Alligator mississippiensis: one gene and its partner. The protein of the gene in region 2 purifies or fractionates together with the protein of the main gene of each other region. This does not show direct contact. Links are inferred from orthologs where the notes say so. Each region holds a gene or a part of one and is shown on either strand. Other genes may lie near its edges.

Evidence for each region.
Region 1: the proteins of TMEM63B (region 2) and CXCR4 purify together in Homo sapiens (co-immunoprecipitation; 3 studies listed by BioGRID and IntAct, with this or other methods). This does not show direct contact. The link is inferred for Alligator mississippiensis from reciprocal best matches to the Homo sapiens genes TMEM63B and CXCR4.

The regions. Positions count from the first base shown.
Region 1 is NC_081827.1:237,449,846-237,459,266, forward strand, and holds CXCR4 (C-X-C chemokine receptor type 4), read left to right. Parts: upstream 1-4,947; 5' UTR 4,948-5,018; coding exon 5,019-5,042; intron 5,043-6,327; coding exon 6,328-7,386; 3' UTR 7,387-7,961; downstream 7,962-9,421.
Region 2 is NC_081824.1:169,491,050-169,500,383, reverse strand, and holds the start of TMEM63B (CSC1-like protein 2), read right to left. Parts: upstream 3,820-9,334; 5' UTR 3,700-3,819; intron 1-3,699. Other genes in the region: MRPL14 (large ribosomal subunit protein uL14m), read left to right, coding at 3,923-3,965. UniProt on the Homo sapiens protein: Mechanosensitive cation channel with low conductance and high activation threshold. Osmosensitive cation channel preferentially activated by hypotonic stress.

The DNA of each region.
Region 1 (9,421 bases), on a different chromosome or scaffold from region 2:
TGAGTTTGGGCTGATCAGTGTCACCAATAATATCAACAGGGTCTAAAATAACTACTTTCCATCTTCAAAGGGCCTTCCAAACATCAAACAATTAGTCCCTACAACACTCCTCCGAGGCAGGTAAGTAAGTACTCTTACCCACATTTTACAGTTGAGTGAACACAGCAGAGAGGTTAAGTGATTTGCTTTAGGCTACAGATGGAGATGGGATTAGAGCACAAATAATATGAGTATTATTAGATTATGATTAAATAATAAGAGTATTATTATTAGGCTCATCTTTTCTGGGCAGACCATTAAGATCTTAACCCAGTGGAGGTCCAGGCAAGGAATACTTGAAGGAAACCTAAATTAATTACCATCATGCACACACCGGGCCAATTTCAGTCCTCTCAAAGGCAGGAAGCAACTAGGTGTACTCCCTTACGCCATAAATGTCATATTCTGTTGTCTTTTAAGGATGCTAAAGCTTTTACTTTAATTTGCTCCATAAGAAACAATTGAACAACACGCCTTTGCACAGTGTCATTATTATGGCACATGATACGACCCCAACTGAAACAAATGTTTTGCCTTCTCTGCATTTCCTGTTGTTTTGTTTGTTAAGCTCCCAAACAAGTAACTATAGGAAGAATTATGGGGGGCACATCTACACATGGTATTCATCCACAGTAGTTACTGCATATTAAAAAGGAGAAGTAAATTGCCCTCAGAGAAAGGGTCTAAACATGCACTGACTTGGGAGAAAATTTGCTCCTAACTGGAGCAGGTGAGATCAGGGATGTTCCTGCCCCGCTGCCCTGCTCTGCCCCCATTACAATAGCCAGCCTGTTCCTTAACACCAGATCCCTCTCCTTTGTATAAGAAACTATCCTTTCTTCCCCAAACTTCTTCCCAAACATAAACAATAATTCTGGGCAGATTTCCTGCCTTTTTTTTTAATCCAGTATGTATTTTTTCTACCTCAAAGGCTATTTTATAAAACCCTAAAATATACTGGGTTTGTATATGCTTATGTGAGTAGTTAAAAATGCATCTATAATAAATGGCATAGTAATTTAGGCAGATTAATAGTGTATGTATATGTATGGATATATACTGAAGAGAGAGGTAGTTAGCCGTGTTAGTCTCAAGTCAGGCAGAAGCAAGGGTAGATTTGCACAGTAGAGACTAACTGAATCATAGATGTATAGCATGAGTCTTTGAATTAATTAGCAAATGACAAAGTAAAGCTGGGTCTCATGGAGGCTTATGCTATACATCTCTGCTTTAGTTAGTCTATAAAGTGCAATTCTACCCTGCCTTCTGCCTATATATTAAGAAACATATGTGAAGACAGCAGTGTAGCACCTTACAAACTGAGGAGCAGTTAATTCACATAGCATGATACAGACTATTACTATTTGTGTGCATTGTGGTGGTATCTACACAGCATAAATCAGGGATTAGCACCCACGTGTACTAGGTGCCCTACCCACAGAACTGTGTAATCAGCATTTCATTAGCTGAAACTTTGCTTCCCTAAGATCACATTCAACTCCTTAAATGAGGTAACCCACACAATAATTAAATATAAATTATTTTTCTACTCTGGCTCTCTGGAAACATGCTTTATAACTAGTTTTTCAACTAAATATATCAGGAACAATTTTACTCTTCATTGACAGACATAGATATTTCTTTTTAGCAGACAAAATCCATGTTAATGATTCACAACCTGAGGACCTTGGTTGCTTGCACTATAGTTTAAGAATATGTAGGATTTCACTTCCCAAATTGCATGTTTTTATGAAACAAATGCACACTGTGTTGGGAGGGACCTGATTTCCACAGTAATTTTCTCATCAGAAAAACATTTAGTGCAATACATTAGCTTGTAAATTGCTATTTGCTTGCACTGTCTCTTGAAGATTTGTAGCTCACTCATTGAATTACATGCTTCTTTTATCACTTTGGAAATCATTAACCCTCACACTGCAGTCCCCCTTACAACAAAAGAAGTTTTCACATGCATTTTTGGTAGGGCAAAGAAAAGCAACTATAGATACAACACATCTAGATCAGTGGTTCTCAGCCCTTTTAGACTAGAGGTACCCCTCAATAGATGCAAGGCACCATTCAAAAAAATGCCAACTCCTGGTTTTCGCTGTTTTTTTTAAGAAAATAATAGAGCAATTCTTCTGTTGCAATGAACTCAGAAAGACCACAACAGGTTAGAATGTCTTCAACATTATGGATTCCTATTTGAAATGTCTATGGGTTTATCGTGCGAGTTGTTTGCCCACCTAACAGTGCTAATACTGCATGGCACCCTGTGACACCCTAGAAAGGGTATCAAGGTACGCAGCATGTCACAGCACCCTGGTTGAGAATCACTGATCTAGATTTATGCTGGATTCAGGGAGTCTGTACTCCAGTGCTATCCCATTTGGCCAATCTTCAAATATCCTACTTCAGTAGTGCTCAACCTTTTTTCCCCAGCTGGCTGGATGGGCTGGATTGCGCAGCTCTCAATCTGGCACCGGGCCCAGCATGGTGGGCACCATCCAGCAATGCAGAGGGGGATGCGGAGCAACCCAACTGCAACCCAGCCCTGCAGAGAAAGAGGACATGGCTTGGCCCCATAGGGATAAAGCGGGTGTGGCTTGCCCCCATGGAGGGAGTCATGGCCCCAATCTGGCCCTAAGGGGAAAAAGAGGTCATGGCTTGGCCCCAGGACAGGGGCAAGGGGATGTATCCCAGCTCTGCAGGAAGGGAAGTGCACATAACCTGGCATCAACCTAGCCTGTGGCTGGGAGGGGGTGTGACTCAGCCCCTGGTCCAGATGCAGGGGAAAGGGTGAGGCCTGGCTGCAACCAGCCATGCAGAGCTTGGAGTTTGGGAATTTGGTGAAGAGAGGATGTCTGTATTAATGGACACTGCTTCCCTGCCACCAAATTTCCTGCCCCATTAGGGGCCCTGCATGCCAGATGCACTGGGTTTGCAGGCTGCATCTGACCTGTGGGCCAAAGAGTGGGCACCCCTGTCCTGCATAATCTGTGCATGCTATCAGAATTCAGAACCACAGTTCCAGGAGCTAAGACATCCCTCAACCCCAACCTTCGTATATATGTCCTAGTGCAATTTAATGTCATTCATTCAATTATTTCAAGAAACCACTTCCCACTTCTCACACTGACCCTAAACCTCCGTAGTAAACTGAAATAGTAATAGCAGAGTAAACTCACTTTAATCCAGCAAAGGGAACAATAGCAGAGGTAAAATGGGCTTCAGCTCAAGTTAGCAATACAAATACATCATAAACCCACTACCAACATGCTCTAGAGCAGTGGGGGTCAATCTTTTTGCATACCACAAACTAGCACCATAACCTCCCCAAAAGCCACTCCAATCTCCCTCCTTTGCCCAATGTGCTGCTCTGCTTTTCGCTCCATACTCTGTTCTCCCCACCCAGTCTCCTGGTCTACTTTCTGTTTCCCACCTGTACTCCCTGCCTGATCTCCGCCTTTACCTTCTGCTTCCTGCTCTACCTGCTGTTGTGCTGCCTGTCTCCTCCCACATCTGTTCCCTACCACACAAAGAAGCTGCCCATCTGCTGCCTACCACTTGTGCCGCAGGCTAGCCACCACTGCTTTAGAGTCTGTAATCCCACATCTGCATTGCTGTTGTTGTTCTTGCTATCTACATTCAATCTAGTACATATATGACAATCCACACATGCCTACACCCTCATTTTTCTGTGTAGACAAACCATACATCTCTAATACATCCAGTATGCCTTTCCTATTAACTAGTACACTGGCCCTCAAACTTCTGTACCTAGTCTTAAAATCTGTGATACCCCTAAGGTTTTTTTCAGCTTGTCTGCAAGTCTGTTGGTCATAGTTTCAGCCCCAGGAGAGGCAGCAAAACATACTGTAGATGTACCAGGTATGCAGCTGGAGTCCACACCTGACCTTCTCTGTCTTTCCCAGAACACATTCTCCATCAAAACACACCTGTTAACATCCTAACTTCTGGCAACTCAGAGCCAGATTTTCCATAGAGCTCCAGTACTGAGGCACCCAAATGAAATGGCAACTTTTTGGTGGCTTGTGCTGAACTTTTCATTCAATCTGGCCCACAGTCAATGCTTTCAACTTTGAACCAGGAGTAGGAGCTGCTCCAAAGGTGCCCGGCCAGTGGGAAGCCTTTGTATCAGTGGTGTAGAGGGTGCACAGGGGTGCATGTGCACCCCAAGAGTGCTGGTGCACCCCGACAGCCAGCGTACCCCGCTTAGGTGATAGGCGGGGGGGGGGGCAGTGTCCCCCTAAGCACGCTGGTGAGGGGGTGGGGGCTCCAGGAAAAGCGCCCCTGGCACTTGTTGTGATCAGCCATTGGGGGGACCCCCCCTAGTTGCCGACTGGATGCGGGGGGGCAAGTGCCCCTCCCAACTCAGGAGGCACCAGTCGCCCATGCTTTGTATTTAGAGGTTTTAATCACACAGCTGCACTGGCGATGGAAATGTGAACACCGATCACAGATGCTGCTTTTCTGTTTTCCCTTTCCTTTCCTTCCCTTGCCGTCTGCCTGCCTGCCTGCCCCTCTCAGCCCACGAGCTGCTCAGTCATCATCCCGCCCTGTGCCGCCGCAGAGTCCCGAGCGCAGGCCGGCTCCACGGCCGACAAGCACGGGACCTCGCGGAGGAGAGACCCCGGCGGAGAAGGGGCAGCGCGCTGCTCACTCATGTCCCCTCTCTCTCGCTCGGGGTGTCCGGGCCGCTCCCCAGCCAGCAGGTGCCCCCGGCCCCGCGCGGGCCGGCCCAACCCAGCCCAGCCCAGCCGGGCTCAATTCAATCGCGCGCCCTTCACTTTGCAATGGGCTGCCATCCCCGGGACGGGCACGGCCCCACCCAGCGCGGGGCGGCGGGGCAGGGCAGGGCCGGCCCCGCGGGGAGGAGCCAGGCGGGCCGGGTGCGGCGGAGACGATAAGAGCCGGGGCGGCGCGGGGCGTGCTCCGCAGGACGCTGGGGCGGCAGCATGGAGCTGGACGGGCTGGACGGGGTGAGCGCGGCGCTGGGCAAGGGGCCACGTGTGAGCGGGCGGGCGGGCGGGCGGGCGGGCTGCAGCCCCGGCGGGGAGGCGCGGGCAAGGCAGGGCAGGAGCCCGGCTCCCGGCGGGGAGGAGACGGCGCGGGTGCCAACGGGGCTCAGCCCGGCCCCGGCAGATGCTGCCCGGAGGTGAACCCCCACTCCCTCCCCCACAACATGCATGCAGGCGCTGCCCGGAGCAGGGGCGGCACGTGGCCGGAGCCCGGGGGCGAGGCGGGAGTTTCACGCCGGGAGTCCGGAGCGTTGGTGATTTCCCGCCGCGCTGCTTTCGCTACCCGTTTGCACGGGACGCTTCTGCCCGGCTCCCCCGGGCTCCTATGCTGCTAGGCAGGGATCCCCTCCTCCTCCTCCTGCCCGGGATTCCCCTCCTCCCTGCCGGGCTCCCAGCACTACAGATGCAGCCCGCAGCGGGCACAAGCGGGTTTGCTCCCCGTACTTCTGCACCTAATGAGCAAGCGAAACCACTGCCTGGACTGGCATCCTTGGGAAAGTGGTAGGAGATGGTCTAGGCGGACACATCTCAGTGGGGCAGGCAGGAGACTTGACTCTCGTTAGAACAGTGGCATGTAAGGGGTGAAAACGTAAAACAGATGCTGCTTTGGGGCGTGCCGGGAAGCTGCAAGCGGGGGTGATGTTTGGGAACCTCTGGATTTCATAGATTTCATAGAGGTCAGGGCTGGAAGGGACCTCGGAAGATCATCGAGTCCAGCCCCCTGCCCCAGGGGCAGGAAGTCAGTTAGGGTCAAAGGATAAAACTGGGACCTACTGGACTTGGGCGATCCAGTAGGTCTCTCCCGTTTCTCACGGGGGAGGGCCCACTGTCAGCACTGAACGGTAGAGCAGAGGTTCTCAGACTGTGGTCTGTGGCCGCTGGTCCGCAAGGTCCGTTCAGGTGGTCCGCACAAAGGTTGTGGGACGATTGAGAATATCTTTGCTTGTAAGGTATTAAAATAGGAGTTGTGTGCTTTGATTTGTAGAACAAAAAAAAGTTTTAAGTGGTCCGCCGAGACCCTCAGCAATTTTTTCTGTGAAAAAAAAAAAGTTTGAGAACCACTGCTCTATAGAATGACATGGTGGGGAAATGCAGTTATCCTTCATCACCATCACTGTTTCCCAGGCACTTAATTCATTCTTCTATCCCCCTAGGGGTCAAAGCTTTACTTGGCTTCTCTGTATTGTGAAGTGTCTTGGATGAGCTGGAGCTAACAGCTGTTCTTTTTTTACTTTTATTATTGCAGTGGTCTTCTGGGGTCTCCTTTGAATTCCCTGATAATGGCACCGATGAGGTTGGTTCAGGTGAACTTGACCTTAAAGAGCCATGCTATTGGCAAGAAAATGCTGATTTCAACCGGATCTTTTTGCCAACCATCTACTCCATCATCTTCCTGACGGGAATCATTGGCAATGGATTGGTTATCGTTGTCATGGGCTACCAGAAGAAAATGAGAAGCATGACCGACAAGTACAGGTTGCACCTGTCAGTGGCCGACCTCCTGTTTGTCATCACGTTGCCATTCTGGTCTGTGGATGCAGCCATAGGCTGGTACTTCGGGAAGTTCCTTTGCAAGGCCATACATGTCATTTACACAGTCAACCTCTACAGCAGTGTCCTGATTTTGGCCTTTATAAGCTTAGATCGTTACCTGGCTATAGTCCATGCTACCAATAGCCAAAGACCAAGAAAGCTGCTCGCTGAAAAAGTAGTATATATAGGTGTGTGGCTTCCAGCTCTGCTTTTGACAGTGCCTGATCTAATCTTTGCCAAAACTACTGAAGTAGGAGAAAAGTACCTTTGTGACCGCATATACCCTCATGACAACTGGCTGATTTCTTTCAGATTTCAACATATCTTGGTAGGACTTGTTCTGCCTGGTCTAATAATCCTGATTTGCTACTGTATTATCATTTCTAAGCTGTCACACTCAAAAGGTCACCAAAAGCGCAAAGCATTGAAGACTACTGTCATTCTCATCCTTGCTTTCTTTGCTTGCTGGCTCCCTTACTACATTGGCATCAGCATTGACACCTTCATCTTGCTAGGGGTCTTCAGACCACGGTGCAGTTTTGAGACAATGGTGACCAAATGGATCTCCATTACAGAAGCCCTAGCATTTTTCCACTGTTGCTTGAATCCAATTCTTTATGCCTTCCTGGGTGCCAAATTCAAAACATCAGCGCAGAATGCTTTGACATCAGTTAGCAGAGGATCGAGCCTAAAAATCCTTTCAAAAGGCAAACGTGCAGGACATTCTTCTGTTTCTACAGAATCAGAGTCTTCAAGTTTCCATTCCAGCTAACGCTGTCTCATTGCCAACATTTTACAATAAAGAACAATTTTTTTTTAAAGAAGATACACAAGATTTCTGAAAAAACAAGACTGACTATAATGTACAGATTTATATACAGCTGGAGTTTTATATTGTTTCTTTTAGCTTCTGTGAATTTAATTGACTTATTTATATAAACGCTTCCATAATTATGACAAAGTGTCTAGGCAGGACCTGTGGACAAGTGGTTAGTTCACAAAGTTTCAGTGCTTTTTCTGGTTGTATAGGTATGTGAACTAAACACTTCTAGGAGTGTAGCAAGTGACATGTTTAAAATGTATAAAAATGTTTGATTGTTTGTATGTACATATTTTTGAGTTTTGCTGTTTAAAAATTCCTAAACTTGTGATTGATGTTCCAGAATTTTTCCCTTTACTGTAAGTTGTTTGGTTTACAATAGTTTAATTCTGCTGTAGACAGTGGCACTTATAACCAAAGCCTTCTTTGTCATATGCTAGATATTTTTTTTCAGTTCTCAATATTGGTTTGGTTTGCACAACTCTGTTGTGTAAGGTTGTTAATAAAAACATATGATACAAACAGAATTTGAGTGATACTTTCATTTAACCTTTAATTCAATTTACTTTTTATCTTATTACTGTGCTACTTTGATTTCCAGTTACTTAATGCTGGGGTAACATGTCTTTGAAACAAACATAGTTTGCCTGATGTACCTAGAGGAAAATACAAGGTTTCACATGGATTGTTTGTCTGTCTCATCAATAGACAATCTCAGAAATAGGCACTTGCGCTGCCCATGGCATTTAATCTGTCTGGATTTATTTGTTATATCACTTGTTATTTCCATGAGAAGACAAGCCCACTGCAGTCGACGTTCTCTTCAACAGTTCAACCCCACTTCAGTTCAACTATTTTTGGCTACTAGAACCCAAGTTCTCTTTATGATAACTTTATGCACCAAAAAAATCTATTAAATACATGCCAGATTTTGCCAGCCTCTTAGGGATCTGAGGAGGATTACAGAAGCTCACTTCAGTCAAGAGAACACCTAAAACATTCAAACTGAACATGGTAAGTATTTTTGTAAAGAGTGCAAAAAATCAGATTACCAGTTTAGCTATACGGGAAGGAAATGTAATGCTGCATGTAATTATATACAGTCCACATTAAATACCCACTTTTTATATAACATTCGCCTTGAAAAAATGAAATGTTTATTAGTACAATTAGAATGTAATCTAATACAAACGCTACTGAACATTTGGGTTTTCTTGATTTAATTCCCATCTCTTTCTAAGTGTTCATCCCCTGTAAGTACAATATAGTTGCACTATCATACATAAACAACATGAGGTTGTCACTGGCATCTGTAGTGATAGATTAAGCCCACAGTATACATCATACACCAGAGAATACATGGAAATAGTCATCAGTCCAGGAAAGAATTTCAACACGTGCTTAACTCTGAATAAACCCACTGAAATTATGTGCTTTACTGGTCAGGGCCAGGTTCCCACCTTCCATTCCTCAAAATAAAGATATAGGATACTTGAACAAGGACAATCCTTCCAAGAGAGGGGCAGACATGTCTTGTCCATTCATAAAGTTAAAAAAAAAAAACTCTTGTCATGCTTATAAGGTCAAATGCTTCACTTTACTACCAGTAAGCTGTAGTGTTAAAACTGGTAGTTTCATATGCCAAAAATAAGTCTCAGTAACAATCAAGATCTTTACTAGAAAGGCATTTTATTGTGAGTAAAAACAAAGATGGCAAGCTGTTCCCTTTGTGAAACAGCTTTTTTTTCTGTCCTTGCTACAGAACTGTCTACTCTACACCCTGGTGGGATCCAGATTTTCTGATGGTAATTAAAATCCACAGTCCACTCTCCAGCACAGTAAAACAGCTTACTTGTTACTGAATTAAGGTATAAACCAAGATATAGTCAGTAATGTGGCTCTGTGCAGAACTTAATTACAAATAATTGCTAAAAAGCCTAATTACACACACACACACAAACACATATATAACTTCATAAAAACATTC
Region 2 (9,334 bases):
CAGGCCTTGTCTACCTCATTTCTGCGCAGTGTGCAGGATCCCTGTCCAAATTGCCCATCTGCGTCCACTCCACATGTGCCAAAGCCCGGGAATAAGGCAGGGGAGCCTCCCTGAGCGGCCCGACTACAGGCCTTGCACTGCTCTGAGGCTCACCATCTCTAGGTTGCTTATTGGCACTGCCAGTCTAAGACGGCTACACTGCCTACTTTCAGGACTTAGCAAGTGCAAGTGGGAGTGAGTGAGTGGTGCACCTAGGTGATATAGACAAGTCTACAACAGCTGAGGGAAGCTCAAAAAAATGAGCTGAAGTTACAGCAAAGGCTGTGAAGGCAGAGAGAAAAAAACCTAGTGCTGGTTATTTTTAAGCCAGTTGCATGATTTTTATTTTGATCTGACTCATTTTTTTGGGAACATTTGCGGAGGACAGAACTGTGTGCTGGTCAAAAGGGAAGAAGATATCAACATGCAAAGCCCCCTGACAGATCTCTTGATGACAAAACCAACACACTCAAAAAGTCCTGTAGTCAGCTTCTTTCAAAATCACTTAGCATAGGAAGTAATGGAGAGACGGAACTTTGTGCAACAGAACCCGCTCCCTTGGCCTGCTGGGGTCTTTTCCTAAGCCCCTCAATCTTCTCTTCTGCATGTAACTCCCACCTGTGCTAACCAGACATCTTCCCCAACCCCCCACATCCTGCTACAGAGAATATGCTGAAGACTGAAAGATTCAGGGGAAAAGGCTTTTCCTAGGTAAGATGCAAGTTAATTGCAGTCATTAAAGGTAATGTCCTTAATGCTTTGCTATTTCTGGTGCATGCAGAGTCCTCCTGGAGTTACTTATCAGCTGAATGATTGGCTCTGCACAGAATCAGAAACATTAGAGAAGGATAAAAAGCTATTAGAGCTCATATGGTTCAACCACTGTGCCCATCTGAGGAGGAATGTATCCTTGCAATGGTATTTTCCAAGGCCTTGTCCAGGGCAGGGGCATGGTACCTGCAGAAGTCTGAGACACTGTCCTCATGGGGACCACCATGCCAGTACTAGGTTGCATCACTTAGTTTGTGACCATGGGGCCTCAGATGTCACAAAGACTATGATGAAATGGACTACTTCAAAAGCCAGAACAAAAGACAACAGATGGATTTGGGATGGGGAGGCTCCTAGTACAGCACATATATCTACACCAGGATTTCCCTCAGATCAACTCTGGGCTTCAGGCTTTGTGGCTGGTTTCAGGCATGGCTTTTTTGCCCAGCCACCCTTCACAGGACTACACCACACTCCATGCCACTCCCTGCCCTCAATTTGGTTGCGAGTTCTCTAACATCCAATGGATATCGGGTTATGTAATACTTGTAGCAGGTGACTTACGCCCAATGCTACACACACTGATAAGGTTGCGCTGTGTGGGGGAAGATTAGGATTAGAGCAGAGAATTTAAAAACAGCTACTGAGGGCCTCAGCTCTGGTTCTGTCGTTACTTTGTTGTATGGCTGTGGGCAAGTCCTTTACCCTCTGTGTCTCAGTTTCCCATCTTTGTCAAGTGCTCCATGGCTCCTGGGTGAAAGGTGCCAGAAGTGCCAAGCATTATTATGCTCCCCATAAGCCCTAGGCATCTGCCAGTCTCTCCTGTCCTCCTGCAAGTCCCACAATTCTTGCTTCTCTTTGGCTACTCTTGACCACCACAATGATACAGCAGGAGAGAAAGGCTGGTTGCACACCACAGGTTTATAGGTCAATACCTCATATTTCATTTCAAAGTGAAAGGATCAGCCAGCATCATCTTTGAGGAAAGCAGTGCAGTGATCCCTGCAGCTCTACCAGTCAGTCTGTGTCAATTGGACATCCCACGGGCAGCCTTATACAGAGGACAGTACTATGGTTCTATCTAAAAGAGGCGAGACAGACCTACAGCATCAACCTGTCTTTTGTCTGCCACCAGGAGAAGGGCGTCAGGCAATACCAAGCCTATTAGCACAGGAAACTGGCACCCTGTCTTCCCAAAGGGAAATGTCAACTATTATTTATAACCAACAAATGAGCTGACAAGCCTCCTTTTGATTTCACTGGGGGGGGGGGGGGGGAATGGGGAGAAGGCAGGGTACAGGGAAACTTGGATGAATTCTGTTATATAGAAATAAATTTTATAGTATTTGCCCTGCAGATAAGACCGCTTCAGCATTCTCAGTACCTCTGCATGACACCTACTTAAATCATGATTTATATAAAAGGTAAGATGCTATGCACCACCACTCATGCAATTTATCATAGGGATGGGGTCCTTTGATGCACATTTAGGCACCAGCTTTTCATCAGGAAAACAGTTTTTTGCATTGCTTTGCAGCTGCAACACAGCTTGGTGTTCCATGGCTTGTAGGCATCCACACGCCACTCCCGGCACCACAAACCCTCGGGGCTCCTTACTAACCCAAGGGTCTGCCCCCCTATGCCTGCCAACTGTAGAATGACAGCTCTAAAGGCTAAGTTCCCTGAGGCAGTGACCCCATCTGTTATTTAAGCAGAGCTAAAGCAATCATGAGTCCAGCATGCTCGACCATCAGGACTCCCGCAAAACAGAAAAGATGGCATTTTGTTTCTAATGCTCCCCACCTTTAAAAAATGTAGGCTGCGTAATATTCCTGTGCGAAATGCATGACGCTAATAAGCCAATGCCCCGATACCCCTTTCGAGTCCCAGCCTCTCAAGCAAGCACTGAATTCAGAACCAACACATTCAGCATAGCGACGGCCAACCAATCCTACCACAGCTCCCACAGACCCACTCTGGGATGCTCCATTCACGCCCCTCCGTTTCTCCATCCATCAGCTACCCCTCCCCATCCACAGCCCTCCCTCTTCCTTTTTAAAATGCCATTAGCCCCCTGACATACACCCAACATCCTGCAAAAGGGCATTTTTAAGAGACATATATTTATTAAGCCATTCCCAATTCCAGCACAGCGAAAAGGGATGTAAAATGGCACAGAAATCTTTAATGTTTTATGGCTCAGTAAATATTCAACATTTTTCGCATACTATGTGTGTGTGTGTGTGTGCACGAGCACCAGGCAGTACATACATCTATACGTGCATGTATGCAGGTATGCGTGTGTGCAGGTATGCACCAGGCATATATATGTGTGAGTGTGCATATGTATGTATGTATGCATGCCAGGCATATATACATGTGCGCACACATGTGTGCACATGCACAGGCATATACATATACATGTATGTGTGTGTGTGGATGTGAATGCTTGTATCTATGTGCACGTAGGTGTGCATGTATGTATGTATGTATACGTGTGTGCCTACGTGTAGGCGTGGGTCGGTCCGTTTCGCAACACGAACAACTAACCCGATTCCCTCCGCAGCGAGGCAGGGGCACACAGCAGGGATGGGGCCGGGCACTACAGGCAGTGCCAGCCAGCCCCCTTGCACCGGCCCAGGGCAAGGGCGACGACCTCCGCTGGGAGAGAGGGAGCGGCATCACCCGCCCCCCACCCCGAGCACAGCACGCGGCGGCGGCTCCGCACCGATCCTGCGGCAGGGGAGAGGAGCGAGCGGGCGGCTGCAGTGGCGACCGCCCTTAGTGCGCGGAGGCAGCCCGGGGACATGCCCGCGCCGCACCCCGCCCGGGTGTGCAAAGGGTCCCCCCCCCCGACAAGAATCGTGCTGCGGAGCCGGGCCCGCTTACCACGCCTGCCGTGCCAAGCCGAGCCGAGCCGTGCCGTGGGGCGGTACAGACGCCCCGCGCCCAGCGCTGCGAGCAGCCGGAGCTCCGCGGCCCGGGCTGGCGGCGCGAGCGGGGGGCGGGGCCGCGCCTGGCGCAGGGGAGGAGGGAGGAGGAAGGGGGCTGGGCGTCGGGAGGAGCCGGCTGCGCATGCGCTTGGTAAGGGGGGGTTGTGGGTTCTGCGCGCATGCGTGTTAGGGAGGGGGTGCTGCTGTGGATCCTCGTGGCCTGTAAGTGCTGGAGCGGGATTTGGGCGCGGGACTTGCAACAAGCTGCGTCTCGGGGGAGTCCTGCCTTGCCCCTGCCCCTGCCGGAGGGTGCCCCGCTCCTGCCCCTGTGGGGGGGTTGCATTTGCGCAGGCAGGCGATGCATGTGCCTGTGGGGGTCCGCTTTTCCACTGCTTCACCCTCCTGCTGGCTCCTCCTGGCCTTTGCCAAGTCAAGGGGCTGCCCACTGCACAGCCGAGGTCCTGAGGAGATGCCTCCACCTCCCCCTTGTGCTGCCATATTTTCTCACCTACAGTGTATGCTTACCGCCCCCCACCTTCAAAATCACCCCTCTCCATACCCCACATGGAGGGGGGGAGGTGTATTAAGGACGGAGCTGGTTTTCTGGCTGTGGTAGAAGCACTTTGCTTTGATTCTTGTGTCTGGGCAGCGGGAGGGTCCCTGGGGACTGCAGGGCTACTTTTCTTGCCCCGCATTGTTCCTGTGTCCTAGCAGAGGAGCACTGGGCAGTGTCCGTTGGCTCCTTGGACTTGCTTGAGGGTCAGTGGGAGCTGCCTGGTGTGCACTGCTCGGTGCCCCCTCTTAGCACTCTTGTTATGAAGCTTTGACCTCCACTCCTGTTCCTCTTTTTATTACTATTTGTCCCACGTATTCAATTGTCAATTGTCACCTTTCCTGTAGCCTCCCTGCCTGCGGGAGGTCAGTAAGTTACTTGGTGGGCCTAGACCCGTGCTCCTTAAGGTGACAAATAGGCCTGTGTCCAGGGAGTCCTGGCTGTAGCCAAGCTGGCCATACACCTGACCTGGACGGAGGCTCTGGCTGGGGGTGACCACCAGGGACTGCAGGGGGCTGGACTTAATGATCCTTTGGGGTCCCTTCCAGCCCAAATGTCTATGAAGTCTATGTCCACTGACTTCTTGGACTTACTCTAGGGCCAGTGGGCACTGGCCCACGTGCTCTGCTTGGTGTCCCACCCTTGATGCACCCATTTTAAACCTTTGACCTTCACTTATCCCTGTTTTGCTTTCCTTTTATCCCAAGAAATTAGTTATTTTCTCAGTGGCCTCCCTTTCTTCTTGGTAGGCAATGGCCCATGATCCCTTGAAAGTAACCAATAGGCCTGTCTCTGGGCGGTTTCACTGGGCGGAGTCCACTGGCTCCTTGGACTCATTTGGGAGCCAGTGAGCAATGCTCAGTGTCCCTCTTTGGAGCACTTGTTATAAACCTTTGACCTTCACTCCTGTCTCTGTTTTCATTCTTAGTTGTCCCCAGCAATTAGTTGATGTTCGCTTAGTGCCCCCACCCTTACTGAAAGGAGCTTATGGACTTACTTAGTGGGCATTGGCCCATATTCCCCTATGCATGTTGAAAAGGCCTGGTGCAGCAGCTGTCCCTCATCTGTTCATGTCTCCCAGCAGTTCCACTGGCCAGTGGCCACTGGTTCCTCGGACTCTCAAGGGTCAGTGGGCACTGGCCAGTGTATTCTGCCCAATCTCCCTTTCTAGCTCCCTTGTTATTAACCTGTGACCTTCACTCCCTTCTTGTTTTCTTATGATTTGTCCCAAGAAATCAGTTGCTACATTTTTAGTGGCCTCCCTGTGTAAGAGGGCTTATAATTTCTTGGTGAGTTTTGGCCCACAAACTCCTTGATGTAGCAAAAAGGCCTAATGTGTCAGCTATCCTGCATCCATTAGTGTCTCCACGCAGTTTCACTGCGTAGTGTCCACATGTTCTTTGGACTTGCTTGAGGGCCAGTGGATGCTGGCTGGGGTGCTCTACTCAGTGTCCCCCTTGGTGCTCCTGTGATCACACTTTAACCCCCCCCCCCTCCATCTCTGTTGCCCCTTAGAAGCTGTTGATTGCACACCTAGTGACCCCCTCTAATAATAGGTGGGGGACTAGTAGTTAATTTGTGGGCTTCTGCCCAGGTTCCCTATATGATTCAAATAGGGCTAGTACAGCAGCTGTGGCACTAGTATTCAGTCAGCTGAGGGAGTCAGTTGTCTTAATGGCTCAGTGTTCTTTATTCCAGAGGCATTAAGATAATAGAAAATTAGGGTTGAAAGGGGCCTCAGGAGGTCATCTAGTCCCACCCCCTGCTAAAGGCAGGACCATCCCCAATTAGATCATCCCATCCAAGGGTTTTTGTCTTTCCTTATAAGTCATGTTCCCCAGCCCCCTCTCCATTTTTGTTGCCCTGTGCTGGACCTTCTCCAATTTGCCTACATCCTTTCCAATGGGGGGCCCAAAACTGAACACAGTCCTCCAGATGTGGCCTCACTAGTGCTGAATAGAGGGGAATAGTCACTTTCCATGACCTGCTGGCAATGCTCCTACCAATGCAGCCCAGAATGCCATTAGCCTTCTTTGCAGCAAAGGCACTGCTGGCTGATATTCAGCTTATTATCCACTGTAACCCCCAGGTCCTTTTCGGCAGAGCTGCTGCCCAGCCAGTTGGCCCCCAGCCTGTACTGGTGCATGGAATTGTTCCATCCTAAGTGCAGGACTGTGCACTTGCCCTTGTTGAGCCTCATGAGATTTCTTTTGGCTCAATCCTCCAGTTTGTCTAGGTCCCCCTGAATCCTAGCCCTACCCTCCAGAGTATCTGCTACCTCCACAGCTTTCTGTCACCTGCATACTTGCTGAGGGTGCACTTTATGCCATCTTCCAGGTCACTGATAAAGACATTGAACAAAACTGGCCCCAGGACCAAACCTTGGGGCATTCTATTTGATACTGGCTGCCAACCAGACATTGAGCCATTGATTACTACTCTCTGAGCCTGATGCTCCAACCAGTTTTGTATCCAGCTTACAGTCCATTCATCCAGCCCGTACTCCCTTTGCTTGCCTGTGAGAATGCTGTGGGAGACCATATCAAAAGCCTTGTTAAAATCAAGGTGTGTCACATCCACTGGTCCCCCACACCCGCAAAGCCAGTCACCTCATCATAGAAGGCTATCAGGTTGGTCAGGCATGACTTGCCCTTGGTGAATCCATGCTGATTCTTCCTAATCACTCTTCCTTCTCCTCCAAGTGCATAGAAATGGATTCCTTGAGAACCTGCTCCATGATATGTCCAGGGACTGAGATGACATGGCTGACTGGTTTGTAGTTCCCTGGATCTTCCTTTTTCCCTTTTCTCAAACATGGGCACTATGTTTGCCCTTTGCCAGTCATCCAGGACCTCTCCTGATCACCATGAGTTTTCAAAGATTATGGCCAATGGCTCTGCAATCTCATCAGGTAAACTCTTTCAGCACCCTCAGGTGCATCCCATCTGGCCTCATAGACTTTTATATGTCCAGCTTTTCTAAATAGTCCCTAACCTGTTCTTTTGCCTCTGCTGGCTACTTGCCTCCCCAAATGTGCTGCCTGGTGCAGTAGTCTGGGAGCTGACCTTGCCTGTGAAGACTGAGGCGAAGAAGTCATTGAGCACTTCAGCCTTTCCTTTTTGGTGGTCTTGATGTCCCACTAATCAAAACTAACCTTTCTTGGGGTAGTTTTGCTGTCCATTAGCTGCTCGTGGTCTTTTCTCCTGTTTCACAGCCATGGAGATTCTTTAGCTATTTTCAAAATCCTAGGCCTGCCCATAGAGACCAGTCTTCAGCAGCAGCTTGGATTTCAGTTTTATTTAAGCAGGACAGGAAGGTTGAGTTAGCTGAAGATTAGGGTATGTCCCTACTTAATGCAACCATAACTCTGGAAAAATCTTTTTTTCTTCATTCTGCCTTTCAAAAACAAATATGGTCAGGTTCCCAACTGTGATCAGAACTCTGTTGTGCTCAGTGCTGGACAAACATATTGTTAGGGGCAGGCAATTCCTCGGTGAGCTCTACAGCTGTAGGAAAGATATGAAAAGGGTCTGCGCTAGACACTTTTTTTTCAGTAGTCAAGCATGACTCCAAAAGGGCATGGACAGATGTAACAGGTATACTTGTATAAATTAATCCAATTTAACTATTATGTTCGCATGCTCCTATAGTGGAATTAATGGAATAAAACAATTGTAAATTTACCCATATTTCATTTAGGGTTTAACAGACAGAAATAACATTCACTTGGCATCAGCTGTTATGATGTAATTTATGTTTGTATGCTCCTACTGGCTATAATTTTAGCCCTGAAAGAAAGAAGCAGGGTTAAAGTTACAATGGCTTTGCTACACTTGTATCCCTTGTAGGAATATGCATATATAATGGTTATATTGTAACAATTTATACCTCTTTCATTCCATACCATTATGACTAGGGATCTACTTGACGCAAGACTACACAAAATAATTTGTATGGCTTGGTTGCAGCATGAAGAGCCGATTTCGGAAGCATTTCCTGGCATCCCTGGCCCTTGCCACTGATTGGTGAAGGGTATTGGCATTGCATTTCACTTCTTAAAAGATGGCACTGAAACATTTTCATTTTACTGACTGGCGCCTTCACTTATTCCGAGTCACTTCTCAGACAAACTCTAAATCATGTGATCTATGGCTGCAGTGATTGTCGCATTGTCTTTGTGTTGTGGTAAACAGTAGGACGTTCTAAAACAGTGTATTATATGAATAATATGCTGGGTTGTTGTTTTTTTTAGGTTGATTTTGTGGGAAATTCCAGCCAATGCAATATTTCCTGGCGATTGTAAATAGTGCCATTTTTCGTGGTTTCATGCGTGCCTCAGAACATAGCCTCCCCCTCCCATTTTAAAATGCTTGAAAGTTATAGCTGTCCACAGCCATGTATTGCTTCTAGACTACAAACATTTCATCTTTGTACAGCTCAGTCTAGGACACTACTAAAATGTAGGTAGTGACCACCAGGGGGTATCTGAGACATAAAAAATTATATTACAACCCAGTGCAGAAGAAATCTCTCTCCCTGTGTACTATTATGCTCAAGGTCAAGTCTCTGTGATCTTCTCAAAATACATGTTTATTTAGGTTTAGCTTTATGATCACAGACATTTTCTAATAAATGTAAGGGGGTCATGAAAAGTCTTAGCCTCACCAGTCTGAAAAGGCTGAGAAGTATTGACCTACCATATGTCAGGCTATGTCTGTGCTTTAGAGTTAACTTTAGGGACTATTCCTGTGTTTGAGGACACAGGTTAGCCACTTGTGGATGCGAACAGCCACCCTCTGAAGCAGTGGGGACAATATTTTTTTTTTTTTTTTGCAGGCATGCCACAAATTAGCCCCCCACCCTCCCTCGGTGCCCTCTTATTCTCCTCCCCCTGCTCAATTTGCTGCTCTGCTTTCTGCCCTATCCTCTCTACCTGATTTGCTACTCTGCTTTCTCCCCTCTGCCCTACTATGCTGCCTATCCCCTTCCCGATCAGGCATGTACCACCCAAGGGCTACCCATGCCACTTATGGCACTC